Drosophila melanogaster: one gene and its partners. The protein of the gene in region 3 purifies or fractionates together with the protein of the main gene of each other region. This does not show direct contact. Each region holds a gene or a part of one and is shown on either strand. Other genes may lie near its edges.

Region 1 (8,241 bases), 6.6 Mb from region 3:
ACATCTTGATCAGTTGACCAAGTTCGGCGGTGCGATAGTCCGAGACACGTCCTCCGGGGCCATCAGTAATTGATGGAGCCTCATCCATGCAGGAGCGCGTGATGCACAGGGAGTGCACAAAGATCTCGCCACCGCGTGCAGAAAGCATATGGCTGGTGGCCTTTGAGCCGGTCTTGCGCGGCATTTCCAGCAAGACTGAACGTCCGTTAAGCAGAAAGTTAATCAAGCAAGAACTGGGCCGCGAGGTGACGTCCACCGGTGTCACGAGGAACTGACCCAGACAGGGCTGTAGATCTGCAGAGCCGCAACCGCGCGGTGTGCACCACTTAAGAGTCACTGTTTCGTATGTGGCACCTTGCTTGATGCTCGTGGGTAGACTGAAATCTGGGCCACAGGTGATGGAGTGGGCCCTTCGGCTGTGCAGGATTTCCACATCGTAGTTGGCGCTGGAGTTGGCGTTCTGCTCCTCTTTCATGGGTATGTTAGTCACCGTGGTACTAGCTAGGTCGTAATGGTTCAGTATGAGGTGCGTCAGCTTATAGGAAATATCCGGGGCACTGACTGTGTGGATCTCGACATCAAGCAGCGGCGATATCTTGAGCAGGCTGCGATTGGTAACCAACGATTCAACGCCCAGCGGCACAATGTTGAGGATAACTAGGTGGCAATGGTCGATGACCAGTCCCTTCTTGGAGGGCGGAGCTGCTAGGGTGTTCTGCTGCACCAGCACGGTGTTAAAGATGTCCTCCAGGCTTTTCATGCTGGTATTGTCACGCGCTGAAGTTATGCAGATGACGCGACCCTTGTTGGGAATGCGCGGCAGTTCGTCGGTCCCAAAGTCGGCCATTGCCGCCAACTGCTCATCGGTGGGCTCCGCCAGCGCTTCGATGGCGGCCCGCAGGCCATGGATTACCGAGTAGTCAGAAGATGTGGGTACGTTGCGCGACGGCACGCCCACAATTAGCATTGCGTTCATCACGTGCGCCATATTTTGCGTGCTGGGCCTCCAGGTGTTCACGATATGCGCCGCCGTGTCCGAGACAATAAACCGCACATGCTTTTTGCCGGGAAAGAGATCCCAGACCACGCGGCAGTACTCGATGGAGGATTCGCAGGCGCATGTCCACAGGCTCTTGCTGAATTGGGATCCACCGCTGCCGGTTGCATTTCCCGCCGCTCCTGTTGCGCCGCCGTCTGCAGATGGTTTTCCCTTTAGGAAGTCCATCGAGATGTACTCCTCGCTGGCGATGCTAAAGTATCGGGTGTGGTCCAGCACAAAGATGGTCTTCTGGTTGCGTTCGAACATGGTGGACTCGTGGACAACTTAAATTGCCGGGAAATCAAACAAACGCAAACGTTGAATCCTAATTGTTTACAATCTTTGTTCACCACGAACAGCTGTTTTCGAATTCCAAATTCACCACAGCTAATTTTTTTTTATTTTTTTAAATTTACTAAACTGTGTTAAAAAGCTCTTTTCTCAAATTCAACAAAAAAGCACACATTTAAAAAAAATATATCGATGTATTTATAACTTCATTTCAATTTGTCCGTCTCCAATTTACCGAATCTGGCAGCGCTGCTCAGTAGTAAGAATCACGTTGTTAAGCGAAAGCTGTCTAAATTTCATAATATTTTCTAGATTGTTTTTTTTTCCCATACACTGAGTGAAAAGCGCGAGAAGCGCAAGCCAACATATTAGGAAAATGTCGTGGCTTTTGGGCAGGAACCGCCAACAGCCTCAGCCGGATCAGACCGCCGGCTTTTCGGAAGGAGGAGGAGCTGCCGATCCGGAGGGCAGGACGGCCGGCGAGAAGTCCGGGGATTCGCAACTGAGCCGGGCGGAGCGCAAGGCCATGGAAGCGTACCGCTTCGATTCGTCGGCGCTGGAACGTGCAGCGGATGCTGCCAAAACCCTGGAGCGCTCAAGTAAGAACAAAATTTCATCAGCCAATTGCATAACCGGCATGCGCCACGCTATCACAACGTGCGTATGCGTCAGAGTCCATGTCCATAACCCATGTTAATCTTGTGCAGAACACGCCCGGGAGGCCCTCGAGCTGTCCAAGATGCAGGAGGCCACCCGCCAAACGGAGTACAACACCAAGGTCAAGGAGTACGAAGCCCATATCGAGCAGGCCAAGGTCGAGCAGAAGCGCATCGACCACGAGGAGCGCCGCAAAACTCTCATCGAGGAGACCAAGCAGCAGCAGCAGCGTGCCCAATACCAGGATCAGCTGTCCCGCAAGCGGTATGAGGATCAGCTGTTGCAGCAGCAGCGCGTACAGGAGGAAAACCTGCGCAAGCAGGAGGAGAGCGTCCAGCGTCAAGAGGCCATGCGGCGCCAGACCATCGAGCACGAGATCGAGATGAAGGAGAAGAACCGGCTTAAGCTTCTAGAACACGAACTGCGCGCCAAGGCACGAGTGGATCGCGAGAACCGGGATATTAATTTGGAGAAGATCCGTCTCAAGGCGCAGGAGCATCGAACAACCGTACTGGAGGGCATCAAGTGAGTGATACCCCAAACTAGGCAGGATGAAATAACTGATTTTGTGTTACTTATTCACAGAACCGCTGGTACTGTTATCGGTGCCGGTGCTGAGGCTATGCTTACCGACTGGGACAAGGTGCTGACCGCCGCCGGAGGACTTTCGTTGTTGGCCCTGGGTGTGTACACGGCCAAGGGCGCCACTGGAGTGGTCTCTCGATATGTGGAGGCGCGCATTGGTAAACCTACGTTAGTTGGCGAGACGTCGCGCTTTGCTTTTCTGGACGCCCTTAAGAACCCGCTGCACTACCTGAAGAGGCTGCGCGCCAAGCCGACCGATGCGCTGCAGGGCGTTGTGCTAAATCCGAAGCTGGAGGAACGGCTTCGTGACATTGCCATCGCCACAAAGAACACACGTATCAACAAGGGCATGTACAGGAATGTTTTGATGCACGGGCCGCCAGGAACGGGCAAGACCATGTTCGCCAAGAAGCTGGCCGAACACTCTGGCATGGACTTTGCCATCATGACCGGTGGCGATGTGGCGCCCATGGGCAAGGAGGGCGTAACCGCCATCCACAAGGTGTTCGACTGGTCGCACACCTCACGCCGCGGACTTCTGCTCTTTGTGGACGAGGCGGATGCATTCTTACGCAAACGTTCTTCTGAGAAGATCTCGGAGGATCTGCGTGCCGCCCTCAACGCCTTCCTGTACCGCACTTCCGAGCAGAATCCCAAGTTCATGCTTGTGTTGGCCTCCAACACTCCCGAGCAGTTTGATTATGCCATCAACGATCGTCTGGATGAAATGGTGGAGTTCACGCTGCCTGGCCTGGAGGAACGGGAACGCCTCTTGCGCTTGTACTTCGACAAATATGTGCTGCAGCCTGCCGCTGCGGGTGCCAAGTGAGTATTGCAAGAGCTCTTGCAGTTGGAACATTTTTTGATAATTGTTCACAACCATTTATAATCTTCTAGGCGGTTCAAACTGGACACCTTTGATTACGGAAAGACGTGTTCGAAGATGGCCGCTCTGTGCGAGGGTATGTCGGGTCGAGAAATCTCCAAGCTGGGCGTGTCCTGGCAGGCGGCAGTCTATGCCTCCGAGGATGGTCTGCTCACCGAGAAGATGGTCCTGGACAGGTGCTACTCCGCTGCTCAGCAGCATAAGCAGAAGGTGGGTTTGAAAATGTGTATTAACTTATGTGCTTTGGTAACCTTCAATCATGTATCCTTTGCAGATGGCCTGGCTTTCGGATCAGGAGCGTGCTGATCACAAATCCATCACAGGCACAGCTGCCCCACCCCTCACCCTAACTGCAAAGAAACTGTAAAGCGCGGAGGAACCGATGCTGAAGTAGATGCAACCTGCATTCAAAACTTGTTTAGTTTTCTAATCACTTAACTTTAAGTTGGTACGCACAGGGCTTTATCTTACTAACGACCACCAACCAGCAGCCGAGACACCAAAATAGTGCATATCGGTTACGTGTATGCATTTAACAGCCTGTACATAATCGTTGGCGGGAAGATGTGTTCGTCTATAGATACAATTAAGTTTGACCCACAGATAATTGTATTATAAGCCTACATCCACTGTCTCAATAGAATATACAATAAGAAGTATATATTTTAACTGCTGTCGTTGCATTTCGTATGTTAAAGCTTTGGACGTAGACTGTAAATTGAATTCGGTCGCGCCAGCACTGTGAGAGATTTATATTAAACTTCTCGCTGGCTCTTCCACCAATTTCACTTGTCCGCAGTGTTTCCTATATGTGAGTATGAAGTAAATATATATAAATTACCTGTTAAAAATTGCATTTTTATTTCGCCTTTAATAAAAGGACGAATAATGTTTAGGAAATTGGTTATAAGAAAATCGTTCAATGCTCAAAAACACATCATGGGTTTTATTTATTTTTTTTTAAATTTATTAATTTGAGGTTAAACCAAATTTAAATAAACCATCTCATGACTATTTTGGAGTCAGTTGCTACAATTATTTAATTTATTATGTGAAATAATCGCACTACGTTACGTTACGTGTTTTGCACCACCTAGCGGATAGTAGGTGTAGTAAGGACGAGTTGCCAACTATATTTGTCAGTGCCTAATGAAGCGACACCTAAGGGCCAAAGCGAACAACACTTCTGCCATGTCAACTTTATGTTTGCAAATGTAAGTGTACTTACTGCAAATTCTCCTCAATAGGTGTCGCAAAGTCTAAGTGCAAAAAAACTATTAAGCGGAACCCACGGTATCTAATTTAACATCAAATAATAATAATTTAATATCAAATAATTCAATAAAATGAATTCCTTTACTGCCAAAAAAATATTGCTAATTTTAGAACAACAGCTTCCTTGTTTCACCAAAAACACTTTTACAAATTCTTTACTCATACATACATATACATATACATCTACATATGTATGAAATTCATAATTTCCTGCATCGCAACAATATGTAGAGTAGAGTGGAGTAGAAATACAAAAGACTCTTTAAATTTTAATCGATAACAAAAAAGATTTTAAGAACACCAAGCTAGCTTATCGGGTGCATCCACTAGACAAGCAGTGTAAACTGCTTTGTGTAGCAGAGACCCGAACCTAGAGAAATATTTTACAAGTAACGGCAGCACTAAAATTACTTTCACGCAACGGCAACACTTTGTCTAGAATGGCGCGCGAAATCAAAATTTTTGCTTGGCGCGAAGGGAGAGAGAGCTCAAATTTCAATCATAGATATGCGCGAATAATTCCTTTTCAGGATATGTTCAGCTGCAAAGAAAGTGTCCCAACCCAAAAACATTGAAATACATTGTATTTTTTTTTTAACAAATTCTTTATATTTGCTTGCGTTTTTAATTTTTTTGTTATTTTTGTGTTTTTTTTCGGTTGTTTTTTCTTTTATAAAACTTTGTTTTAAGTTGTTCTTTTGTTTGTTTGTTTTCTGCGGTTTTGTATATAAATAATAATACTTATGGCTAGTAATATAGTAAACGTTTTTCGATTTTTCATCAATTTCTCCTTGCAAGCCAAATGCTGCATCGTCTTTAGGCCAACGTAAACGTAACGTAAACGTAAATTTTGTTAATTGATTTGGGTTTTGAAAAATTTCCAACGGCCTTTTGTTGTTCGATTTGATGCTGTTGTTGTTCTTGTGTGGTGTTGAATCGAAAAACTGCAACAATTGCAACTAACAATGCTAAAGTTACGCTAATATAGAATTTTGTTTTGCTTCCGTTTCAAACTTACTTGGCTAGGAGTTCGCTGTTTTGCCTTAAAACTAATAATATTTACACTTAGAAAAATTTGCTAATAGTTTTGCTTGCTCATTTGTCATATTCATTGTTCTGCCATTTCTTCGATCTCTCTTAAGAATTTCATTAAAGATTGCAATTAATTTGTGTCCCCGATTGCTTGTGTGAAGGAAGGGGGAGAGGGGTATTTAGGACCAAGACTTTCGAATATATGTATATATTTATATTCTCATGCACGTTCACAACCTGAGCACAATTAGCATTTAACATCCCCTCAGCCCCTCCCCCATTTCGTCGATTCAATACTGCTTGGAATTGCTAGTGGGCGCCAGCAGGCGACGCGACCAGCACGCCGCCATCCGCTGGGGATCCGTCGCCGTCATCGTCTACAACTGATACTAACTACCGACCATGATGTGGGCCGGGTGCTCCAGTTCGTTGTCGTGCAGGCGGGAGGCGGTCACAACCTGACCGCCCAATCCGCTCTTGAACAGATCCTCGGAGCTGAGCTTACAGCTGGGTACCAGCTCCGTGAACTCCGAACCGAGTCCGAATTCCATGTCCAGGAATCCGTACTCCCAGGTATTGGCGCCCGCCGACACATTGGAGCTAATGCTGCTTACATACGACGAGGTCAGCGAGTGGGTGGCCGAGGAGATGGTCGACAGGGTGGTGAATGTGGCGGTGGTGGAGCTGCTTCCGCAGGAACTGCTACTGCCGCCGCTGGCTTGTACGGTGGTGAAGCTTCCACTGAATGCCAGCGTGGACCCCGAGGAGGAACTGGAACTACTGGCTGGCACTGAAACTGGCACCGCTGTAGGTGTGGCCGCCGACGGAAGTATGCTAAACAAATCGTTGTTGTTGAGCGGATCCAACGCCGATTGCGAACTGAGGCTCAGCACCGAACTCCAGTTGATGGATCGCGTGGAGTCGTCGTCCGCATAACCCGAATCGCTAGTATCGCAGTTGCTGCTGCTTGCGGTAGGTGCAACTGGCGTGGTGCCGTTGCTGCTCACGGTATTCCCACTACTGCTGCTGATCACCGTTGAGGAAGTGGTGTTGCTGCTAGTGCTGCTTGATGCGGGGGAGCTGCTGATGTTGCTACTTAGTGTTGTTGCTGCTCCTCCACTGGAAGCTGCGGCTGCTGCCGAAGCTGCTGCCGCTGCTGCTGTTGTGGTGGGGCAGGCCGGAAAGGGCGTTGCTCGACCAGATTGCGACTCCCGAAAGGGATAGTGATCGTAGGGGTGCAAACTACTGTTGCTGCTCGCCGCCGTCGCTGAGGAGTTGTTGCTGTTGCCGCTGGTATTGCTGCTACTTGCACCCGCTGATGTATCACAGTTGCTCGGCTGCGTGGCGAAGCTGCCCGCACCCGCTGCCGCGCCCCTGTAGGCGGGTTGGCTGTCCAGACGCTCGTGGTAGCTATGCGGCTGCGAAGGCTGCTGTTGCTGCTGGTGTTGGGGCTGGAAACTGAGTTGCTGGTAGTGATCCATGTTGGCCAAACGAGCACAGTTCAACACGGGCGCATAGTCCATCTGCTGCTGCGTATGTGGATGCAGAGGTGCTGGCGGGGATTGCTGCTGCTGCTGCTGCTGCTGGTAGGCTGGGTGGTACTGAGCCGCTTGTGCCGCCGCTGCTGCTGCTGCGGCTGCTGCTGCTGCCGCCTGTTGGTGGTGCTGTTGCGCCGCCTGGTGCAGCTCCTTGGCCTCTGCTTCGATCTCCCGATCAATGCGCTTCAGCGTATTGCAAATGAGCACCGAGCGGTACAGCGACTGCTCAGAAACCTGCCGGAAACGGGAGAGTTTGAACATGGACAGATTGCGTATCTTCAGGCGCGTGTCCTTGTAGCAACTCCTGTTGGCACTGCACCAGCCACCGGGTCGTCCATCGCAGCACCTTTTAAGAGGCAGGCCATGGAGAGGCAAGCCGGCGAATGGAACAACAGGCGCTGATGAGGGCGGCGGACTGATGGGCGATCCTCCAGCATTTCCGGATGCGCCACTGCTGCAGCCCAGGTCCAGATAGGATTTGCCGTTCTCTGCACAACGAATTGTCTGCTGGGGCGCCGCTGGCGGGGCATAAGCTCCACCGTTGGTCGGCTCGTAGAACTGTTGGGCTCCCGATGAGGGATTGGCCGGACTGCTACCCGCTGTCGCCCACTGGGGTGGAGCGAAACCACGCGCCTGCTGCGGTGTTGGCGGTGATTGCGTCATGTGCTGCGGTCCTCCTGTCCGCGAGCAATTCTGCTGCGGGAAAGGCTCCGAATAGTAGTTGGGTTGCCTGCTCCCATATCCGGGGGCATAGCTTCGCTGCTGCTGCGGATGTTGTTGCTGCTGCTGGGCGAGTTGCTGCTGCTGGGGATGTGGTTGTTGTTGGGAGAGCTGCTGCGGCTGCTGCTGGTGGGGATGGGACGGCAGCTGGTGCGAATGAGGGTGCGGATGCGGTACAAAGGGATGATAGCGCATGGGACAGTAGGTGGGTATGATGC
Region 2 (8,437 bases), on a different chromosome or scaffold from region 3:
GGGCCTCGTCGTCGGGCGCTCACATTATCTGGCTATGGTGCATGTCATCGCTGGGAAAAGTTGTCTCCGTTCGCCCTTCCGCATGCCCCCGCTTTTCCCGCCGCTTTTCCCGCCGCTTTTCCGCACAGTGTCATCTCCCGTTGTCCCTGTCGTCATCGTCGGGCCATATTAAATTGTGTTAAAACACTTGCGCCATGCATGTCACACGGCACCTTGCCCCCCGTCCTTGGGAAATTCGCCGCCCCTTTTTGGCCGCCCAACGCCTCCTGCTACCCTCTTTGTGTGCAATGGCGCGTGTTTTGCCATGTAACTCGTTTTGTCTCCCAGCTCCTTTGCTCCTTTTCTCAGCGTTTCTTTTTATATTTTTTTACAATTTTTCTTTTCTTTTTTTTTTTTTTTGAGTGAGGTAGCTTTTTTATGCCCGCTTCATTTCCGGCAAATTAAAACGCATACGGCGCCACACGAGTAACATTCTGGTAGATCGCTGAGAAGCGAGCAAAAAATTGTACAAAATATATAAAGTAAAATAAAATAAACACTAATTTGGCAGTCGTGACACTCGAAGTTCTTCTTTCATTTTTTTTTTTCGGTTTTTTTCAACATTTTTCGCAGTATAGCCTCTAGAGTCACATAATTTCTGGTTCAGTTTTGCCCACTTTCCAATTTATTTGTTTGCCAGGGGATTTGCAGTCAGCACTATTCACTCTGCACTCGGCTATATGTTGTTTATTTTTGCACTCTTTTATTTTTATGTTGTTGTAATATATACCCATTTTTCTGTTTGCACCTCGCCTCATAATTAAAAGCTGCACTACGAATTTTTCAATAACAGCGATAAATCAGGCATATGGAAGGCCCAGGGAGTTGGCCATAAATAAACTTTACAGCCACACACATTGGCCGACAAAGCGAAACGGCCCAAACGGTGGGCGTTGCAGGACAGAAGTTGGGGGCGTGGCCGAACGAACTTCACATCGATGGCCCAGTCAAGCATGAAAAGCCCCCACTTGGCTCCTTATTAGTAATGCCTCAGATCGTCCGACGACACTCACGGTAAATGCAATCGAAAGTCGAGGAAAGCGAATTAAACCAGATGAAAATTATGTTATTAAAGATGGAAATGAAAGGTTTAAAATATTCATTGAAATATTGAAGAACTTTTTCCTAACTAGACAGCAACTATTGGCATTGACATAGTAATTTTACACTTAAACAATAGGCACTTCAAATTATTGATTGATAGATTGATGCTGATTGTTATGACTGCAATCATTTAAATAAGCAACGTACGGCATCTCATACCACATGTATGCATATCATGCACCCTTAATAAGTTATCGAGTTACTTCGTTCTTGACCAAATTGCATTGTTTCCATTATTCCCATTTCCATCGGTACCTGTGCTGCTTTTACTTATGGGCTTCTAACCCACAAACATTACACATGATATGTATATAGACATAGACGGGTGCGGGTTGGAGTGGTTCATAAGTATAGATTGCGGTTGCCGTAGTGGACCCCTTTATTCTATAGGTTGCATATGTATAAGAGGAAATTAAAAATATATGCTGCATTTGGGCAGCTCTCTTTCGTTTGGTGGTGTGTGTGTGTGGGTGTGTGGGATAGGATGTGTTGCCTACTTTTTGGCATTCGCCAGGCTCTTTTTGTCTGCTCACTTGTTGGTTGGGTTTTGTTTGCTTGTTTGCTTTGTTTTCCACATGGGCCACATTATTATGATGTCTCTTCTCTTTTTCTCGCCTGAATGAAGTGCATCGCACATAAGGGAGTCGAGTGTGTGGGTGTGTGTGTGTGTCTGCAAGTCCTAGAGATGGCAAACTATTGCAACTCATTAGGGAATGGCTTATTGTTATAATGAACCCAAAGTGGCACCGAAATATTTATTTTTAAGCTACTTAAAAGCTCTTTAAATGTAAAGAATACCAGTAGAAAAAATGCATTAAAACAGGATTTACAATACATTTGACTCATTGGTTAACTATGAATTTGTTCCTTATTCCGCATAAAAGTATACAAAGTGTAGTTTTTTCTTCAACCAATTGATGATGTTAAATATCGGTTGACCCCATTGCCCATCGTGTCACGCTGCCATCGCCAAGGACACACACGTTTCGGAGGTCGACTGGCAGCGTCAGCTTCGCGATTTTTCATCAAAGTCACGGCGGGCAAAAGTTGGCGAGATGCTGCCCCATTGTTGCTTCTGACACTGACACCGGAAATGAACACATTTTCCGGTGCCATACGTGTGCGCCTGTCCGTGTGTGTGTGTGTGTGTGAGTCTGTTTGCACTCAAACACACACACACTAAAACAGCGAGAGAAGCACGCACACTGAGACAGACTGAGACCACCCACTGGGAGATTGAAAGTCGCTTAATGTATTGTTTTTCAGCGCTGACTCTCGCCTTTCAGCTTTTGCCTCTCGGATTTTAGCGTTCAGATTTCAGATTTCGGTTCCCAGAAGGCCAACGAAAATACTCGCAGACCACGGCATGATATCCCGCTTATTAGTGTCAAAGGCAAAGTCGTGAATCGGGAGCATCGGAAACCAACTTCCGCCCAGCGAATTTAATTACTCGAGAGAAGGTGTTGATGAAATTGCTCTGCTTGCAGTGACTTTGTCAAAACGAAGGCAACGGAAAATTCGAGTGCAACGTGAACTAAAAGAACTTTATACTCAACCCATTCGATCTTTCATTTAATATAACATGCCTGCAAATGTTTATGATCATTGAACTACCCTTTAAAATAGTTCGATTTTATGTGGCAAAAATGAGTTTAGAAAATCGTTGTTATAATATACTTTAATTTCGTCAAATGTTTTCTAATCTTGAGTTAAATCTTTTTGATATAGCTGCCATTGTTTCCCCACACTCTCGAACCCAGCAGCTTTCTCTACTTTCTCTAACCATTTTCCTGTGTCTGATGGCTTCTTAATTAGCTGTTAAAACGTTTCGGCAGCTGCCAAAACAATTACACGCTTTATTTCCATGAACGGCACGTTTTACCTTCGTTGCAACGCAAGTTAGACCTGACCCCTGACCCCACTCCTCCAACCCATTTGAGTTGACCCCATACCCATACCGTTACACATTCCCACACCCACTATGAACTCCTGTTGCTGCAGCTGGGAATCTAATCCCGGGGACTCAAATCGTTTTACGCTGTCGCCGCATGTGGGCATTAAGTTAAATGCCGGCGTAGACGACAGGAACAATGATGATGGGTCCTGCCCATGATAATGATGATAATAACGGGGGGATGCGGATACGTGATTATGACGATAAGGTTCCGGATTCCGGAGGAGCCCATCGAGTGAGTGAGTGCGGCGCAATCTGCTGATTTATATTATTGTCACGTTTATGGCCAGATTGGGATTGAAATTGAGACGATGGGTGGGCTTAAAAGTGGGTGGCACAGCCAACGGTGCAATGCACTTTTTACAAGCAATTAAAGGTAGTTGGAATAGATAGATATATACATATATATATATATATATGTACGTATCAGATCTTCGAATGTCTAGAGACAGCTGTAAATGAATAATGAACGCCAATTCAGCGAAAAATATATTCAATTCAATTTCGATGCGTCACTCCGGATTCGTCGCTCATTAATTTATGACAGTCATTTTTAACGCTTTGCTGCCCACGATGCCCTCTGCAAGTGACAGTTGATGCTGACGGCGTGCCACGCCCACCCCCTACGCTCTAACGCCCAACCATTTTGCATGCGTCAAATATTCAAGCGCCATTTTTCAATTGAATTGAATGAATTTCTGAATTGAGTGCATGAATGACGATGCCGCTGCGACTAGTTGGCTTTGTTATCGTTAGCCTGGCAGGATCGGGCGACTTATCTATTACATGGATGTTGCAACATGGCTACTTGCTATCTCCTTTCAACATTAAGTGAATCCTTGGAGCAGACAAATTAGAAATATATTGCTGCATACTTTTAGACACCAGAAAGATCCACTGATACCAACCGATTTCAATACGTATAGGGTATTTCTTTATTCGCTCACCTGAAACTCGTACCCATTATTCCGAATTGTTCTATTCCGAATGATTTGTGTTTGGCCCCTTTGTTGACGAACGTCGAGGACAGAGCGGCTCTACGGCGAACGGGCCATTTGGCCGGACTCTAAAGTGGCCATATTTCACGCTCCTCTGATGGGCCTTGTCAACGTGGGCACCACGATGGCTCCAGCTCCAGCTCCTGCTGAATGTGTAGCCATTCTTGGGGCAGGACATTACACTTTAATTAACTACAAGGCCGGGGCAATTGGATTTCTCCATTTCCACCGCAACTCCAACTGCCACGCCCACTCTTTGGCTAGTTTGGGAGCTAATAAAACATTCAAAATATTTTTGTCGGCTCGTTTCTTGGACCGGAGGAGTGTGTAATTTTGCACATTTCATATGAAAAGTTGTCGAGCTCACGCAAAAAACTTTTGCAGCCAACACACAAGGATGCAATGCAGTTGCGCACAGTGGCACTGTGGGTTAAACAATATCAAAAAACAAAAAATAGTTTATAAAATTTATTTAAAAAATAGCTAAAAAATAACTGCACTTATATGTATAATTTTTAATGAGTTGGTAGTAAAAAAAAGTCTTGAACTATGAATCAGGTCCTTTATAAGATAATATTTGAATATTTTGAGGCATTCTTCTTGCACTCAAAACCATAATCCCAAAATGTATAGAACATTTTTGAAACTTTTCCTTACTTTCATTGCAGACTTTTGAATTATGCTCCACATTTCGAGCTCGTCACACGGTGCACAAGAAAAGTTTCTTTTGGCAAAGATTAACAGAACCCAGAAGCAACCGAAAAAGGGTTTGAGATTGGGATTTAGGGGGAATGTGCGTGTTTCTGGCGGCGCATGTTTGGCAATGCGGTAAACCAAATTATGTGCTTAGCAAGTTGCCGCTGCGACCAGAGTCAGTGGAACCAGCCAACCAGCCAACCAACCAGGCAACCAGCCAGCTACCTCAACCACCCGATCCTTTGTGTACTGGATGCAGCTGCATTTGCACAGAGCAACCAGCGCACAGCACAGCCCCTGCTCCCTCCTTTTGAGTCTTTGTGGCACAGCTCCTTGCACTTGGCCGCTTTTCCTGTTGGCTCTGGTGGCAAAGAGGTTTGCACAGGTGTTTCCAACAGCAACTTTGCCAGCATGATTAAAAAGTTTTGCCACGGCTCAGCAATAGAAATCCGAGACTTCGGTTACCACAATGTCAATGCCTGACAAGGGATATGTCATTTCTTATTGTTTGTTGCTAGCTAGGAGCAAAGGGATAGCAACACAATACTAGTACTTGCCAAATCTACAACCTGATTTTATTACTTGCATGTTTAAAAATCTCAATCCCATGACAAATGATCATATAGCCACAAAGATACATAGGTAAATTCTTATAGAATATTCAAGTATCACTGCGGATTCAAATGGTGCTCCAGTTAACCCGCCTGTTACCATAACAAACAACGACTGAGATTGTGTGTCATAAGCGTGTTTACATAGCGTACAAAAAAAAAGGAAATTCAAAATGCATTTTCAGGCCTCGAACATGAGAGTGAGGGATGTGATAATGAGGAGCTAGCCTCTGGCGAAGCGAAACATCTGGGAGTACAAGATCAAGTTAATGTACAAAACGGTGGACATGGCGATGATCATGGCCAAACGGTATCATTTCTTCTTGGCATCCTTGAGGCCAGCGCCGGCGTTGAACTTAAAGAATATGATGTCGCCATCCTCGACGGTGTAGTTGCGTCCCTGTTGGCGATATTTGCCAGCGGCCTTGGCATTCGCCTCACTGCCCTCCGCCTTGAAGTCCTCGAAGTGCATCACCTCGGCCATAATGAAGCCCTTCTCGAAGTCGGTGTGAATGCGTCCGGCAGCCTGGGGAGCCTTGGTGCCCTTCTGGATGGTCCAGGCCTTCACTTCATCCGGCCCGGCGGTGAAGAAGTACTCCAGCTGCAGTCCCTTGTAGCCGGTCACAACGATCTTCTCCAGCATACTTTTGCACTTGGTCTCCGTCTCGTAGGCCTTGCGCTCCAGTTCGTCCTTTTCGGTCAGCTGGTGCTCGAAGGCGCCGGAGAAGGGAATGAGCAGTGCTCCGGGATCGTTCTTGTCGATCCATTCCTTGATCTTCGGCAGCCACTTGTTCTTCTTGCGGATGAAGTCCTTGTCCGAAAGGTTCACCAGGTAGATGACCGGTTTGGAGGTCAGGAACAGATACTTGTTCAAGGCCTCAATCTGAAAGAGCAAAGTAGTGGTGGCGTCAATAAGAACGGGAGGGAAAATCACAAGGTCACACGAAAAAAAACCACAGATTTCGCTGTTTTGTTGGCAAACAAATAAAGACGATAATAACAACAATGAATGAAACACGAATACAAATGCATTCTTAATAAACAAATTTACAATACAATATTTTATGGATATCCCCTTGTTTTTAAGTAGAAAGGAATAACAATAAGCGTTAGTGCCACCCAGCGGATGTGGATTGTTTTCGTACTTACATCATGGGCATTCCAGTCCTCGAAGCGCAGATGACGCTTCTGATCGATAAGGATATCCTTAATCTTAAGCATCGAATCGTATTCGGGCTTGAGCTTCTTGTCGCCGCCGCGGGCCACCACCTTCTCCAGTTTGTCCAAGTTCTTGAGCAGATTCTCCTCGTCCTTGAGGCGCAGCTCCTCGGAGATGATCTCCAGATCGCGCACCGGATCCACCTCGCCCTCCACGTGGGTCACATCCGGATCCTCGAAGGCGCGGCACAAGTGGAAAATGGCATCGCAGGCGCTGATGTGCGAGAGGAAGTCGTTGCCAAGTCCCTGACCCTCGGCGGCTCCCTTCACCAAGCCAGCAATGTCCACGACGTTCAAATAGGCAGGAACCACACTAGTTTTTTTTTTTTAAATACTTATTACTTTCGATTGTGCAGAACTTTTCTATTAAACTTAACAAGCAAATGGCAAGCAAATAACGAAAATAGCAAGTCCCGAAACTTGTTACGCGTTTTAAATGCGTTTCGTGATGCAGGTATATGTTTTTTTTTGTTACAAGCAATGGAAAACTAAAATGCAATGGATTTGTATGCTCCAACTCACCTGGCCGGCTTGTGGTACTCCACCAGGTAATCGAAACGCTCATCGGGCACCGGAACACGACGTGTGGGTAAGGCAAAAGCCATCGGCGGCAGCATCAGCAGGAGCAGATGAAAAGAAGAGGTAAGACGCATGTTAGTCGGGATGACTTGGCTGGACGCAGAAATGCAGAAATCCAAAAATACAAGAATATGAAAAAACAAAAACGATTGACTGACTGACTGGCTTGGTAGCCCGGCAGCATCGGCGGCCAATCATGGCAATTTTCTATAATTTTGCGCCATCCGCAAAGGGGCAGCGAAACCAAAATGAAGTCGCTCACAAATAAAAAGCGCAGGAAAATGAAACCGAAACGAACCGAAGGCGGGGGCAATTTGCATATTGGGAACTGGATCTGATAAAATTGCTAAGGCCGCGACACGCCCACAACGCGAAGGACAGTGAAGCATGGTTAGCTCAACTTTTAAAGGTGCCTTAAATGAATACAAATATGGTTTCTTAACTAATTTATAGAGTTAAGTGTGCGAAACTATCTGTTACTTCTGTAGTCCAAAAGGAATGGAAACATGAGAACACTCTGTATGAGATACATAGTAAGGATAATCTATAAGATCAAATGCTTATAGCTTGAAGTTTGCTAAAATTGAAGTTTTCGTGCTTTAACATTTGGAATTATCTACAATTGAAGACTATTTCTATGATAAAATGGTTAATAACCAGAAGGTATACTAGCCATAGCATAGTGTTTAGATCTAAGTTCCTGACACATTGAATCCCCCACTTAGCTGCGAATCTCAGAGATTTGTGTTACCTATCGAGGCTGCACTGTGGCTATTTTAGAAGGTCCAGTCGAGAGAGCAATTTGGAATTAGAAGCGGCGGCGGTTGCTCCTGGAGGCCATTGCTGCATCGCCGGCATAAAAATTATATTCCACGAGATGATTACAATGATCGAGGAAATTGCCACCGCCCGCAGGTTCGCCTGGTAATTGGCCAGATATATGTATGTAAAGATATATATATATATAAATATATATATATGTGTGTGTTGGGGAATACTTATTCTCATTCGGCTTGATGGTGCAGAAGGGGAAGTTCTCCGCGGGGGCGGCACTTTGGGTCAGAACGTTGAAAAAAGTGGACTTGCCCACGTTGGGAACGCCAACGATACCGATTCTCAGATTCGTTCCAATTCTGCCGATCAGCGGCTTGCGCTCCGGTTCGTCGTGCTTCTTGGGCGGCATCTTCGTTGATCTGCGGTGATATGGCAAGTCGTTAGTTACATATATCCGATTAATC
Region 3 (7,643 bases):
TGGAAAATGGTTCTACAAGTCCGAAAAGCTGTCCGATGACAACATACTCTTCAAGTTCTGCGGCTGCATAAAGACCGCTCTCGTGGAGAAGTGGCGACGTCGCAAGTCGACAAAGCGCTCCAACTACTGGCTACACAATGCAGTTGTAGCCTACGACATGGGTTTCGTCAATGATGTGTCCAGAGTTTTGAGGGTCAGTTATACTTGTGTTATAATGAAGATTCTTTCAACTTCATAATTTCGTTTCTTTTAGATATCCAAGCTGTTTATCCCACTGCCCTTCTACTTTGCTCTGCTGGCGCAACAGGATTCCAGCTGGACATTCCAGGCCACCCAGATGAATACCACATTAATGGGCGTGACCATCCAGCCGGATCAGGCCAAGGCCGTGGGACCCATCTTTCTGTTCATGCTCATCCCTCTATGGCAGTATATAACAGTGCCCTTGCTGCGCCGCTACTTCAACTGGGAGCTCCAGCCGCTCCATAGTGTGACTGTGGGTGGGATCTTCTCCGCCGGCGCCTTTTTCTGTGCAGGAGCCTTGCAGGAACGAATAAAGGTAAGCAGGAATAATAAGATACCTCACCTGATCGTTTATTAACCCGAAATATTCGAAGAATTCCCCGCCCCAAACAGTGAATATAGCTTGGCAACTGCCCCAGTTCCTGCTGCTCATGATGGGCGAATTACTGCTTTCCATTCCGGGTCTCCAGTTCGCCTTCACCCAAGCACCGACCTCTATGAAGTCGGTGGTCACGGCAGCCTGGTTTCTAAATAATGCTTTCGGCAATCTGATCGTGGTTCTGGTCACCGAGCTGGGTATGCTTAGCTCACAGATGGCCGAGTACTTCTTCTATGCGGTGGTAATGCTAGTTTGCATCATCCTCTATGCCCTTTTGGCCTTCGATTACACTCTGCAGGAGCGCAAGGCCGGAATGTATGTGAGGATGGACAGTGAAGCGGAGGACCGGGATGTGCCCAGCACCAGCCGCAGCGGGAGCATATAGGAGAAGTTTCTACGGTCTAGTATTTTCATTGCACTTGTAATTTATTGATAAACGCACACAGGCAAACATGCATTTAACTGAAAACAAATAAAAACTAAACTAAGATCAGTCGATTATCTTGAACATATACTGCAGCTCCAGGTTGGAGTCATCTGGCAGATCAGTGCAGTGGACGGCGTTCTGCACCTTGGACTTGCCGAACTTGGCGCGCAGCGTGTGAGGCCGCAACAGTTTGGCGATCTCCGGATCCATGGGTCCACAGAAGTTGCGGAACTCGCGATCAGTTTTCTTTTCGGGATCGGCGCAAGCAATCTCCATGCACATGCATACTCCACTGGCCAACTGAGCAACCATGGGTATATACTCGGGCACCACTCCGCGGTAGACTTCGTAGAACTCCTCGCAGTTGATTCGGGCCATTAGAATCATGCGCATGGCTGTCAACCGAAAGCCATTCGACAGGATTTCGGAAATGATGTCTCCCAGGAGACCATCCTTGATGCTGTGCGGCTTAATGATGGCAAGTGTTGTATTCTTGAATACACATTCTTTAATTATGCTGTGCCTCGCCTCAGATATGAACTTTAGGTCCATTTCCACGTCGTTGTCGTTATCAGAGTAGTAAAATCCATAACGAATCTCCTCACTTTCAAACAGCTCTTCCAAACTGGGCGACAGTTTCACACTGGGTGTTTCCGCCTCTGTGCTCTTGTACTGGGCGCAGGCCTTGATGGTCTCCACTACGTTGTCGCCGATTAGCTCCAGACTAATGGCCGGACCAGCCAGCAGCTCGTTCATAAGGACTCTGGAATTTAGAGGATAAGATGTGTTCCTTGGCATGCCATCTTTACTCACGAAGAGGAGACATCCGTCGTGTCCTTGCCGGACAGAAACTGAGTTACCATTTTGGGAGAGAACTGAACCATCATGCCCTGGTTTATGTTAATCTTGTTGTCGATCAGAGTCTTTAGGAACTTGCCCAGGTGCTTCGTCCACATATTGTTCTTGAGCAAAACGAATCCCCTGAAAGAGATGGGAATTACAGATTAGCGAGTGGATAGCTGTCGATGAAGGAACATACTTCTTGCGATATTTGGCTAGGTTTGTCCGCGTAGTGTCGTCAGCATAATCCACAATGTCAAACTGCCGGCCAAAGACATTGATCTTGGAGCCCACAAAGAAGTCGCGCTGGGTCAGCTCCGGGATCTTGGTGCGTCGCAGAAATGTGCGCTTGTTGCGCTGGTCGAACTGAGGGAAAACATGGCCTTGGTTAAATGTGTTTCTTTGAAGAACTTGTGCTACCAATCCTCACCACTTCCACGGCCTTGTCGGATACATAGTAGGTGATCAGAAAGGTGCGTATGATTCCAGCCTCTGCATGGAACCACTCGGCCACGAAGGCCAGACGCCGCTCGCTAGCCGGAATCGCAGCGGGTTTCATGGTATCGTTTTGAGGGGAATCTTATACCTTGCTTTTCCGTTCTATCGCTTGACAGCAAGTCCTTTATTTCGAGTGATAACTGTTTGTTTGCTTTGCATTTCAATTGTGCTTCTTCTTTCCCGCGTTGTCACAGCAACAGTGTTGCCAACATAACAAAATTCATTTAAGTGGGCGCAAAATTTAAAGAAAAAAATACCTATGTTAATTTTAAACCCAAATTCTAGGGGATTACCCATAAACAATTTTTAACCATTACCTATAATTTCTTTTTAAAATCGCTATCTATTCAAAGATAAAGCCTTCTTTGCGACATCTTTAAGAAGCTGGACTGCGCATTCCGAATTTAACAGTTTAGAGATTTCTAGAACATTTATAGAATGTTGTAAACTTATAAAATATTGAAAATAAAAAGCCGAATATAAGTTTTTCATTTTTTTTATTGTTAATTTCCTTTATTTACAGGAAACAAAAATAATAAACTGCAAACTGATTTTTGCAATAAATTGGTTGTAGCTTTCCTCTGGTTGTTAAATTCTAGCGTAAAACTTATGGTTTCCCTTGTCGGCGCCAAATCATCTTGTTCCTTGTGTTGCTTTTTGTTAACATCTCTCCTCTGAATACGCATAATATTCAGGTATATTAAATGTGGTTTTCTTCGATTGGAATAGTGTTTCATGTACGCATGCGTTTGTGGATGTTTTATGAGTGATTGAGTGTTTCTTCTTTTTCTTTTCTGGTGTGTATGTGAGGAGTGAGTGTTGTGATCGTGTGCTGACTTATGGTATAAGAGCCACGCCTAACGCTACGACTACGCCAAATTGCGAGACACCATCTGAGCGACCGTCTAGGCAGCTGGCTTCTTCTCCTTATCACCCTCGCCGCCCTCCTCGTCATCCTCGTCGTTCTGGGACAGACTTGGGATGTTGTCATCCGAGTCCTCCTCCTCGTCATCGACGTTGAAATCGTCGAACTTGTTGTTCCAATCGCCACCAGGGCTGTTAAGGAAATTTCCAAACATGCTGTTGTCTTTTTGGTCACCTGCAAAGTGCGTTTGTATGAGTGGGTTTGCTGGATGAGATCTTGGGGATGAGGATGTCAACTTACCCTCCTCGTCGTCGGACTCATCGCGCCACTTGGCAAAGTTGGCTTTTAGGAAATGCAACTTGGTCTTGTCCGTGGTCAGCGAGGACCAGTAGGGACCGGCCGCCTTCTTGGGTATTGTGAATTCCAGGCAGCGGCCAATGTTCTTGCTGGTCACCTTCTCGGGATCCACCTCGTGGAGGAAGTTCAGTGTGACCTCGTACTTCTTCGACGGATCCAGCACGTTTACGCCCTTGAAGGTGAAGGTTTTTTCCGTAACTCTGTTTTGGGATAAATATATGGAATTAGGATGTGCAAGGAGCATGGACATACTACATATGGGGGCATATACTTGTGTTCGATGTCCTTGCATTCGACATCGATGATGACGTAGATCAAGTCATTGCGCTGGGCCCAGGAAACTGGAGGCGGAATCAAGCTGCAATGGAGGATCAAGTTGGATAAACATAAATAAGAGCTTCATGTCGTTGTGCGAGATCCGTTGCCATGGCAACTCGCGTCGGACTTTCTGGAAGCGGGTGCACGAACTATGTAAATAGCTTCCCAGCTAGCTAGATTTGCATAAACCATAAGCCCAGGCAAAAGTCCATGCCGAAAATGCACGGCATTACCGCCAGCCGAAAACATAACCTCAAACACTGGACCCTCCGATTAGTTCCACAAATATCGCAATGCAGATGCGCACAGGACACGCCCACCGTGGACACAAACGCTTGGCCAGGCGGATGAGCGCGAGAATAAGGGTCATCCGAACGAAAATTATGTGTTTTTCACGGCCGGGAGTTCGAAAATGGACGCCGCCGCAACGACAAAGCACGCGACGCACAAAGAAGCCACAAAAAGATGGTCCGGCTATCGCCGATTGGCACTGAGATGGCCGGTTGTGGACTCACCCTGCTGCTGCCGACATTATGTTGTTGCTGTGAATTGTTGGTTTATGTTTTACGAAGTCGGAACACTTCTGACTGACAGCCTGACTTGGTTACAAAAAAAGGCAGTTTCTGTTGAACAAAATTGTCATGCACAAAATTGACATGAGAAACAGAGTTACCGAGCGCGCTGCGGAGATGTGACTAAATTTGAACGGTGCTCTGGGGTGCGAAACTTCGATAGTTGTACTCAAACCACAAATGTTAGCTTGTTACGTGTAACGTAAATTTGAAGTGTTGTGTCAAAACATTTTACATTGTCGGTAAAAAGTATTGAAATCAACTTTTATTTGGTTCAAGGAATTTATGATGATGATTATAAATCTATGATCTACCAAAGTCGGCACGTTTTGGCGCCAGGACGCATGCCGCTGCCCACGGAGCAGTTGTAGGCGTGGAAGAAGTCCTCGCTGTTGGACAAAACTCCCAGGACACGAAATTGGTCGAAGGTGTGCACATCGCTAAGACCTTTCCAGTAGTGCTCCTCCTCGTAATGGGAGCAAAATAGCTGGGCAAATCCCAGGAAGAACAACTGTTCCGGCGTGAGATCGAGACCCGGCATGGCGTCGCTTATCCTCTCCTGCCCAGGATGCTCCAGCAGTTGCTGCCTGTGACTGCGATAGGCCGTCAATGCTTGTCTTAATCCGCTATTGTCTGCGATATTCTCGTCCAGTGTAGTTTTTCCGTTGACACGCCTGCTGATCTCCGGTACCTGGTACTTGCCATAGTAGTCCATGTAGCACTCGGCGCGATCCTCTAATGCCTGTTGCGAAATTTCCGACAACAAGGACTCCATGTGACCATTGCCATCGAAATAGGAGCTGGTCGTATCGAAGCCGTGGATGAGTTCATGACCAACGATAAAACCCAATGTGCCGAATTTCAGGGAAATCGGCAGGTGGCGTTGGTATATCGGTGGTTCCACCACGCCAGCCATCACATTAATGGAGTTGTCCGGAGTGTAGTAGCCCGCTCCAACCTGCAATCCTGTCAGGATCTTCTGTGGCTTGGTGTCATTGGTCAGCTCCTGAAAATGCCGACTGCTAAATCGATTGATTTGTACAACTAGGTGCTGCAAATTAATGTTGGTCTCCGCATAGCGATCCTCGATGACTTTCAGACTGTTGATTTCCCGGATTATTCGATCCGAAAGTGCATCATCTTGGAACGAACCAATGCGTGGCTGTATTCTGGACTCCTTAAGCAGTGCCCTCGCCCTGCTCTCCGCATCCAGCCAATCGGCATCCTCCAGCGCCTTTCGCAGACTCTTTCGCAGTTCCCGCACCATTTCCGACATCTCCAGCCTCTTCGCCTCACTGAAGTTGTTCTGTAACACAAGAGTGTTGAGATTATTTGGTATTCTCATCATACGCATTCGTTACCCACAGCCATGTAGAGTTTGTTGAACAGAAACCGCATGGATTGATAAAGCGTAACCGAACAGTAGTTCCTTTGGTACCTGGGCGCCTTCAGTTTGGGATCGAATCTATAGAGCAGCTTCATGGCCAGGTAGTTGGCCACAGCCTTGCGATGTCGGGCGCATACTTTGTCCAGTTCAACGTAGTAAAAGTCGCAGAATAATTTGTTAGTGGAGTGGAGTCCACTCCACGAGATGTTATAGTAGTACTCCGATTGGGGAAACACTCGCTTAATTCGGTAGGGATCAAACACTTCGCACTGGGGCGGGATCTCGAGTGCGTCCCGCCAGAAGGCAAAGACCCCAGCGATGGCCTCCCTAATCCTGTCCTCCGGCAAGCCGAACGCCCTCAGATATCCGTGCATTCGCTCTTCGTTCAGGCGAAAGGCGCGTGTGGTATTTCTGGAAATGTTTTCCTCATGTACGATGATGTGATCGAAGCCCAGTTCGGGCAGTTTGGTGTAGGGCTCAAAGGGATACCTTAACTGGAGAGTTTCGCGGATCAGACCGTTGGCGCCATAGTTGGCCAGATGAGCACTCATGTTGATCCAGTTAAAGTTTGAGGCTTTCCAGGCGTCTCCATCCACAGCGGGAAATCCTCCAATCGATCGAATTAGACTCAAGTAAGCGGGATCCGCCGCATTGAAAGGATGGAGATTTGCTCCCAGACAAGCGTTGTAGAATCGCTGGGCCACCGCCAGTTCGCTGGATACGTTTAGAGCCTCCGCCAGATCCATTCTGCCCAGCAGTTGCTCCGTGATGTCGATCAGTGTGTAAGTCACGTCGCCCAGGTTGCTTCTACTGCCCGGTGAGTACCGATCCGGCTTTACGTTCCGATAATTTCCACAGGCATACTCGTAGAAATTCTCGCAGGGCTCTACACTTTGGTTCATATAGGATTTCATGAATTCCGCGTATTCCTGCAGTTGGTACTCTGCCGCGGATCTATTGGTCGAGCTACCATTGCTATCGGAATTTTCGGACCTGTCCACAAGGCTCCTGGCCTCGCAATCCGTCAGAACCGCAGCCACAATGACCCACAGCAGCATCAGGGAGATCAGCTTCAGTGATTCATGAAACATATGCGTATTTTATGGGAACACTTCTCAATTGGAACTTATAAAACACACTGATTTAAATCGCGAACGAAAACTGGCAGAATCCCAATAAAATCAAGAGAGCAATAATACAGAGATATAAAAAACCCTTATCAGTAGAATGTGCAACGGATTGTTGATAAGGAAGCGAGTAAGTTTTTGTTTACAATCTGTATACAAATAAGAGATATTTATTGATATTTAGTATTTACATTTTGCAAATTTAATTCCTGTTATCTGCAACGAAAGTGAAAGGAAGTGAATATCGGGTGAATAACAACAGCGGAGTAACAGGTGGTTAACAGATGATAATAATACTGTTGACTTGGTATTTTGATATTTTAACATCTTAGCTATGTTGCCTTGGTAACATGGAGTTTGTTTACAATGTTTGTTGGTTTGGTGGTTAACAGGTGTATCCATTTAGTTAACAGGTGGATAACAGGTAGTTAACAGGTGGATAAAGGGTGGATAACAGGTGGTTTACAGGCGGATAACGGGTGGAATATGAAATTCCATTGACAAAACATGTCAGTTCTGTTGTCGTGGTAACGTGGTGCCAATTTCCGAATTTTTGGTTTACATGTCATCAACAGGTGGCTAGTTAGTTGCTAATAATATCGTCGATCGACGAAACTTCTCAGATCTGTT
Region 4 (7,286 bases), on a different chromosome or scaffold from region 3:
CACTATTTAATTATAGGCGGGCAGATACACAAATTAAACTTTATGAAGCGCAAAAACGACAGTCGGCTATTTATTGTTCGAAACCGTAAGCCGTTCACGGCTTAAATCATTTTTGTTTAGCACCAGAGCCGTGAGTTGCTCAATTAAATTACACCCACAAAGCTGTAGCTGTAATTCAATTCCATTCTAGCCCGGTGACATATTTTTGAAATATATCCGCTGATGTCATGGATAGTGCGTCATCAAAATTTAAATTCAATAACAATGGACTAATAAATGAAGCAATTACCACAATTTTCCTACATATGCATATACAGAACATTTTGGTTTGGTTGTCTGTTTAATTGATAAATTTACAGCTAAGCAATTTATAAATACAAAAGGAAATTTAATAGAATTTGAAGAATTTTTAGGTAATAAAATAATTTATGTTCATATTACTGAAATGGAATTTATATATATATATATAATTTTTTGGTTTAGCACAGAAATGGCTGTAACAATGGCCATTTCAAAATCAAAAGTTTGAACTACGCGCGCATATAATCACGATATCCGATGAGTAATGTTATCGGTAGATAGACAACCCTGCCGCCAAAAGTCCATAGAGCTGGACAACGATCGATAGCCCTCGTGCTCGATATATCGATACTGCCGTGGTTGCTTCACTGTATGCGTGTGTATATCTGGCATCGCAGCGAAAAAAATAAATAATAATAAACAATTGCCACCAAATTGTTGATTTTGGGTATCAAGTTTCAAAGCCGCGAGTTCTGAACCCACCAACACGACCATGTCCAACTACTACAGTCTACTACTACAAGCGGACACCTACGACGACGAGTCGATAGGCGACGAGCGTAGCGAAGAAGGTGAGTACCAGTACGCAGACGACGTTCCTGGAGGAGGCTTCACTCACGTCCCGCGTCCAACGCTCTCCTCTTCCCCCTACCACTTCCACTCCCTTCCAGACACGGACGACGCCAGCGAGACGGAGTTCCGCAGCCCCAGCCGCTACGGCGCCATGAATGGGACCTCCAACAGCAACAACATGGGCACCAACAGCGAACTGAAGGAGCAGTAAGTAGTGGCTCATTCTTAACTCCTATCTTCGATCCATAATCATTTCACTGCCGTAGAATGTACCAGCACAAGCTGTTCAACCTGCAGAAGCAGATGGAGGAACTGGGCCAGCTGGTGCATCCGGAGTACTTGAAGCGCGTGAAGAAGCTGGACAGCCAGCTAAAGGAGCGCCGACGCATGAACGAGGTCTACAAGGAGTACATGCGCGAGTGCGTCGAACGGGACTATGTGCTGGAGAAGATGGCCGCCCAGAAGGAGTACGACGAAAAGATGATGGACCTCAAAGACAACCTGATCTCGGACTTCGAGGACCGCAAGCGTCAGATCGAGAACGAGCGCTTCAGCATCGAGCTGACCAACGATTCCATGGAGATCAAGACGACGATCACGCGCAAGCTGCGTCGTCGCCCCAACGAACCGCTTCCGGTGATCGAGAAGCGCCGCAAGCCGGCCACCGGCCAGCTGCTCGTCTACCAGCTGGATGATAAGGAAATCGAGTCGGACCTAAAGATCATCCAGCGTGGCAGACCGAATCCAGTTCCCCAGCAGAACGGCAGCGGCTCCTACGGCAGTGGCTCCCAGCAGCAGCAATCGATGCACGTTCTGGCCGAGCCGACCTCCAATAGCGGCCTGGTGGAGACTCGCATCGAGGACAACAAGCTGCTGTACGAGCGGCGATGGTTCTGCCGCGGCCAGCAGGTCTATGTCGAGGGCAAGGAGATGAGCAAGTTCGCGGCCACCATTACGGCCATTGGCAACGAGGTGGTGAGTTCAACTTTCCCCGATTGGGGGGTCACAAGTCCAGCGGAACAGTTTCTAACCATGATTCGCTCTTGCAGGTTTGGGTGAAGCGCACCAACGAGACCAAGGTTAAGATCAACATGTCCCATCTGGCCAAGGGCAAGATCTCGATAAAGCGCCGATAGCTCCGCCGTCGGGCCGGGCGTCTCCACATCACGCCCGCCCCGTTTCCTCGGTCAAGAGACGTACTTTCATAAAATTATTGATACAGACGTAGCACTAGATTAGGTGTACATTTTTCTAAACGAGTATTGCACATTGTAAATAATGAAACCACAATTATTTTGTATACAAAGCGATTTTTTTTTTATTGTTGCAAGCGAATACACTTTCCAGCGCAGTGCGCCCCAGTTGCGATGCGCAGAACGTTTTTGCGGGAAACATAGGTCCATAACCAGCTTCTTTTAACCATGTTAAGGCAATGATAGTCTCCAGGTATCTTCGGATTTATGCTAAATGGAGGAATGTACATAACCTTAACTACCCAAACCATGTTTCTACTCCGATGTGCCATGGCATAAACCTAGAATAATGCCATTCGTCGTATATTGTTGTAGTTCTTTTGGTCGGCCTAAATAAATAATCTAAGCGATTCGAATTCTTTATGGTCCGAGCATAGCAGCATACTTACTTGTTTACATAAAATATTAGTTGAAAGTAATCAACGTTAAATGGAGAAGCACATAAGCTTTTAAATAATATTAGTAGACACATAAGATTTAACTAAAACCTAACTTTGGGAAATGTGAAACTAGTGTATTTATAAAATTAGAATTAATATATAAGTAAAAGGCAGCTACAGAACAACAAAAGGATGCTCGTGAGCAAAAGAAGACTATTTAAGTAAACTAGTTATTTAACTAATTGTGAACGTTTAAGTAGCGTGAACAAATAAAACGAAATTGAGCATTTAAGTTACGTTCCTCCACATACGAAGATTTTGGCTTATCGTTTAGAAAATATACCATTTCCTTTGATGGTAAATCAAATTTAATCTATGTCCTTGCAATTCATGCCGTTTTTGTTATGAGCAATTGGATTCTAATGTTATTTAAATATTTGAATGTAGTATTTCGAGCCAACTGGTTTATTCCAACCCAAGTCTACTATGTTTTGGCACACAGCTATAAACGAATGCGATGAATTTCTGCACATATTTTTATAATAAAGAGCTACAAATCGACAAATATCCAAATCTATATACAACAATCTTTTGAAATTACCAAAATTGAATGCATGTATTGTATTCAAAAAAACGTATTTACGCTAGAATTCCTTCTTTCCTCTCGACAGAACCTCGCAAAATAAACTGAATTATCTGCAAAATCCTACTTCTAAAGTTATCTGAAGAGCTTCTTGCAAAAATGTGTTGGGTTAGCAGTTTCAGTTTGGCCGGGCATCGGGTTTACTATACTATTTAGCCACGCTTGGGATCTGAATCCACGTCCGATTTGCACACCACAATCACTGGACCAAACAACAAAAACAAAACAAAAAAAAAAAATAGAGGGGAGCACGGAATTTCACTTGCGTTTGCTTTATAATTGATCGTCATATCATAAAACACACACACATTTTTCAGATGTTGGTTTCTTCTATTGTTAAGGGTATGGATCTTCAGTTGAACATTTTACTGAGTAATTTTTTATACATTAGAAAAAAAAACTGAAGCGCCTGGGTTGTTTAGTTGCGCGATCCGCGTCCGAATCCGCCACGGAACTCGACCTCTCCGGCACCGGGTCCAACATCGCCCTTCTTGTCCACTCCGCTGCCGCCGGGAGCACGTCGGTAGGCGGAGCGATCCTCTCCGGTCTTGGAGGCGTCACCGGGTCCGCGTGGGCCGCCAACGGCGGGACGGGGACGGACGGTCTCCGAGCGGGCAGGGCGCTTCAGCGTCGAGGGCACGATCTCGGGCGGCAGGTGGAGGTAGCTGCGCAGCTCCTCGATTCCCTCGTTGGTGAGGTACCAGTAGTAGTGGCGCCAGGCGAACTGCTCCTTAACCAGTCCGCGCGAGTGGAGCGACTGCATCGCCTTGATCACGTGCAAGTTGGGGATCGACTCCAGTTCCGGGTGCTTCTGGGCATGGAAATCCTTCTTGGCCACGATCACGCCCTCCTTGAAGAGGTACTCGTAGATCGCGACACGATGGGCCTTTGGCATAAACATTCTGCACAAACAACAAAAAAAAAAAATAGCAATTAGATTCGGTTCATTGCCAGGATATATCTACAGATCATCCATGTGGTATCCAATTCACACATTGTTTATTGAGTCTGAAAGACTCGCTTCTTTGTCCACACAAAAAAAAAATGTACACATGCATTCGGGAACAACATTGGGCGCATATTTTCCCGGTGCGGCCGCTTGAAAATGGGGGTTTTCGGCGACAATTACCTGGATTGATTTGCAAACACAAAGTTACACGAACGCGAACGTATCGTAATACTCCCGCTGCAAGTAAAAAAGAGAATTGGAGGTATTTAATAGGGAGTTTTGCTTAAAAATTCGCGGAGCACACGCACTCACCGGAAACGTGAAGACGAAAAGAAAGGGAAACGGAAGGGATGACAAGAAGAAGACGGTGAGCAGTGTGGCCGGACCTTTCGATATGTGTCAGCAATCGATGACGCCGGCAATATATCGATATTATCTTAAGACATAATCCACGAGTAAATTTCGCGATTAAATCAAGTAACTACACTTGCGACACATTTTGACTTAGAATTTTTTGAATTACTTAAAACTGACCACCTTATATTCGTTCTCATAGCTTGTCTTGTATACTTGGGCATTCGATAGCGACAATGGTGCCGGACTTTTTAGTATCGATATCCTTATCGATAAGCCTTAGGCCAAGTATTAAGTTAATACACACACCGCATTTTGCACATGCATCTTATCGATACGTCTTTGTTGTCATAAAATCGCACTTATTTATTGCCAATAAGTATTAGTGATGGCACAGTTAAGCGTTTTTGTTTCGGTAATTCAAGTGTTTCATTTGTAATTATAAAAAAAATCACTCATTTTGTTTTATGAAAAAACAATTAAAATGGATCTTATTATATAAGCTTATTTATTTATTATTTATTTATTATTATTATTTAGTTATTTATTATTTCATTTATAAAACATTAATTTGAACTCAAAACAAAAAAAGTTTTACGACGAACCAGGTAAAACTTTCAATTTTGAGAGTCTCTCAGCAAAGGCCCTCCGCCCTCCCTTCTAGTCAACGAATGAGTAGCCATCTGTTCTCTGAGAATCTGTAGGTTTAACACTAAAGCTGTAAAACAATACAGCTCCCGGGATAGACAAACTTTAGGAATTAGCATTATTATGCAGCAGGATAATGGGCGCCACCGCCCAGACCCCAAGTTTCGACTGGGGCAGCCACAGGTTAGTGGATATCGGGGCGAAAAGTAATCTGTTAGTAGACGCGAAGGTTCTAACTTTTTCCCATCGAAAATTCCGAAGAGGATAAGAAGCAGCACACAGAAAATGTATTAATTAAAATAGAACCGTACAGTTAGGTTAAGCGCACAGTTGGGTTAAGTTAGGTTACACAGTGAGAAGTTCCTGATGAAGTGAACATATACAAATTTGAAATATATATGTACATAGTATATAAAATAATGCTGGATGAACCCTTCCTGACCTAAACCTACATCGGAAAAATTCAAAATCTCCGAACCGCCATTCTGCACTGAGAAAAATTAGGTTATATTTTTAAATCATATATTAGAAGGCTTTACCATAAGTTACCATAAGTTTATGGGATAATTTAAATAAATAATTTGGTTCTCCTCTAAAATATATTTAGCAACCTGTGTCGCATCCATTTAATGACAATTTTCTTGAATACCTTTTATAAAATTTTTCTTGAATTTACGGCAAAAACTAACACCTACTGCCTTATATTTCCTCATCTTACTTTAGTTTGCATTCATTTATTTACTTATTTAATTTATTACTTACCTATTATTACTTATAAATATTGCTATTAATTATTAGTTACCACCATGAATGCAATAAAAAAATGAATTTCTAAAAACTTAAATACTGAACTCGGCTGATGTTTCATCGGACATAGGGTACCAAAGGGGCCGCTAGAGCCATGCCTTTAATGAAAGTGGTCATAGATAGCATAGGGCAATCCGCGAACATAATTAAACCTGTGTTGCGCAGGCAACCAATTCTTAAGCTATTCCTCCTGTTCTAGAACTTCCTCCTCCTTTCGAAAATATTAATTTTCTTCCTCCGATTTTGTATACTAGCTCCTCTATTCCGTTGTTGAAAGCACGCTCAATTCTTGATTTTAATTATTAATGCCTGTAGGGAAAAGGTATTTGTACAAGCAAGACCGCCACACCATGAGCTAGAGCCGGACTTTAAAGCGTGCACCCGCAAGTACAGGTTTCTCCCTTGCCCTTGTCCATAAACTTATTTCGTTACACGTTACAATTTATGCATGAATTGATACCCGTTTTGGAACCAGTGCCTGAATAGTTCATACTTTCATAGTTTTCAGTCACTTTGGCTTCTATTTCATCAAGTTCTGCGATTGTTTTTTATAGGGAACTCAGCATTCGAAACTTATCCGAAATGCGTTTCACTTCGCCACCAGTAATGTGCATCTAACTATAAAAAAGCTACGTAGATTCATTATGTTCGTTGTATAAGTTGTATAAGATAAAAGATATTACCCGTTCACTTTAAATTCGAAATTCGAAGCGTAAATTATTACAAGCCAAAGTATGCACTATTAAACTTAAGAAAAATTTTTTTATATCGATTATATAATATATATATATTATATATATATCGATTATATGACGTCAGTATGTTCAGTAAGTCATTAAAATCTGCTCTTGAAAGATGTTTCTTTGTAAATTACATTTCATTAAAATCACATTTTGATTAGAGGGCAAATCAAAGAATTTTTCAAAGAAAATAATTTTTTAATGTTAATATCCCATAGTGTGTCATATGGGAAAATTAAGAAAGCTAATCTACTTATAAAAATATTAAAAAAAAGTTCTATACAAATTGAATTGTCGATAATATTGTATTTCTTTGGTATATTCATATTTATGATCTACCTTTGTAGTTTTAAAGAATATATGTATGTCTTAAATGAACTAACATTAGTAAAAAAAGGTCCTTAACCTATAATTGATATCTTTGCTCATAAATAGTTTCGAGATCCTTATGCCGGAAGAGGCGTTTTATTTTCCAGTGTTGGCGCAGATGCACTGCATCCCCCCACTGGGGCCTCCTTCGACTCCTCCACAGCTGGGCGTGGTGGACAGGGCCTCTTGTCGGGAAGCAGGAGGCCTTCCAAATTTCCAAACGGCGCCTCGATCAGAATGTACACAGCGAAGGCGAGGAGCACGGTAAAG

What was found.
Region 1: the proteins of p23 (region 3) and bor purify together in Drosophila melanogaster (affinity purification with mass spectrometry, with the first as the bait; one large-scale study listed by BioGRID). This does not show direct contact.
Region 2: the proteins of p23 (region 3) and CARPB purify together in Drosophila melanogaster (affinity purification with mass spectrometry, with the first as the bait; one large-scale study listed by BioGRID). This does not show direct contact.
Region 4: the proteins of p23 (region 3) and RpS10b purify together in Drosophila melanogaster (affinity purification with mass spectrometry, with the first as the bait; one large-scale study listed by BioGRID). This does not show direct contact.

What each region holds. Positions count from the first base shown.
Region 1 is NT_033777.3:16,257,418-16,265,658, reverse strand, and holds bor (belphegor), read left to right. Parts: upstream 1-1,543; 5' UTR 1,544-1,589; exon of another isoform or gene 1,590-1,642; 5' UTR 1,643-1,706; coding exon 1,707-1,929; intron 1,930-2,037; coding exon 2,038-2,512; intron 2,513-2,572; coding exon 2,573-3,397; intron 3,398-3,469; coding exon 3,470-3,668; intron 3,669-3,732; coding exon 3,733-3,825; 3' UTR 3,826-4,304; downstream 4,305-8,241. Other genes in the region: asun (asunder), read right to left, coding at 1-1,306; tara (taranis), read right to left, coding at 6,155-8,241. UniProt on the Drosophila melanogaster protein: Required to maintain the proper number of mitochondria in neurons and muscles.
Region 2 is NC_004354.4:9,779,007-9,787,443, reverse strand, and holds the start of CARPB (carbonic anhydrase-related protein B), read right to left. Parts: upstream 4,222-8,437; 5' UTR 4,045-4,221; intron 1-4,044. Other genes in the region: CG1354 (uncharacterized protein), read right to left, coding at 5,716-6,285, 6,552-6,933, 7,143-7,203, 8,202-8,382.
Region 3 is NT_033777.3:9,674,886-9,682,528, reverse strand, and holds p23 (p23), read right to left. Parts: upstream 4,603-7,643; 5' UTR 4,460-4,602; coding exon 4,443-4,459; intron 3,968-4,442; coding exon 3,881-3,967; intron 3,810-3,880; coding exon 3,553-3,809; intron 3,487-3,552; coding exon 3,293-3,486; 3' UTR 2,871-3,292; downstream 1-2,870. Other genes in the region: CG9444 (uncharacterized protein), read left to right, coding at 1-193, 254-559, 618-1,007; nmdyn-D7, read right to left, coding at 1,113-1,812, 1,863-2,030, 2,089-2,255, 2,320-2,448; Nepl12 (Neprilysin-like 12), read right to left, coding at 4,810-5,805, 5,865-6,977. UniProt on the Drosophila melanogaster protein: Cytosolic prostaglandin synthase that catalyzes the oxidoreduction of prostaglandin endoperoxide H2 (PGH2) to prostaglandin E2 (PGE2).
Region 4 is NC_004354.4:19,595,198-19,602,483, reverse strand, and holds RpS10b (ribosomal protein S10b), read right to left. Parts: upstream 4,445-7,286; 5' UTR 4,407-4,444; exon of another isoform or gene 4,336-4,406; 5' UTR 4,279-4,335; intron 4,060-4,278; exon of another isoform or gene 4,052-4,059; 5' UTR 4,051-4,051; coding exon 3,568-4,050; 3' UTR 2,678-3,567; downstream 1-2,677. Other genes in the region: CG14220 (uncharacterized protein), read left to right, coding at 794-872, 972-1,080, 1,140-1,848, 1,923-2,009; CG14205 (uncharacterized protein), read right to left, coding at 7,094-7,286.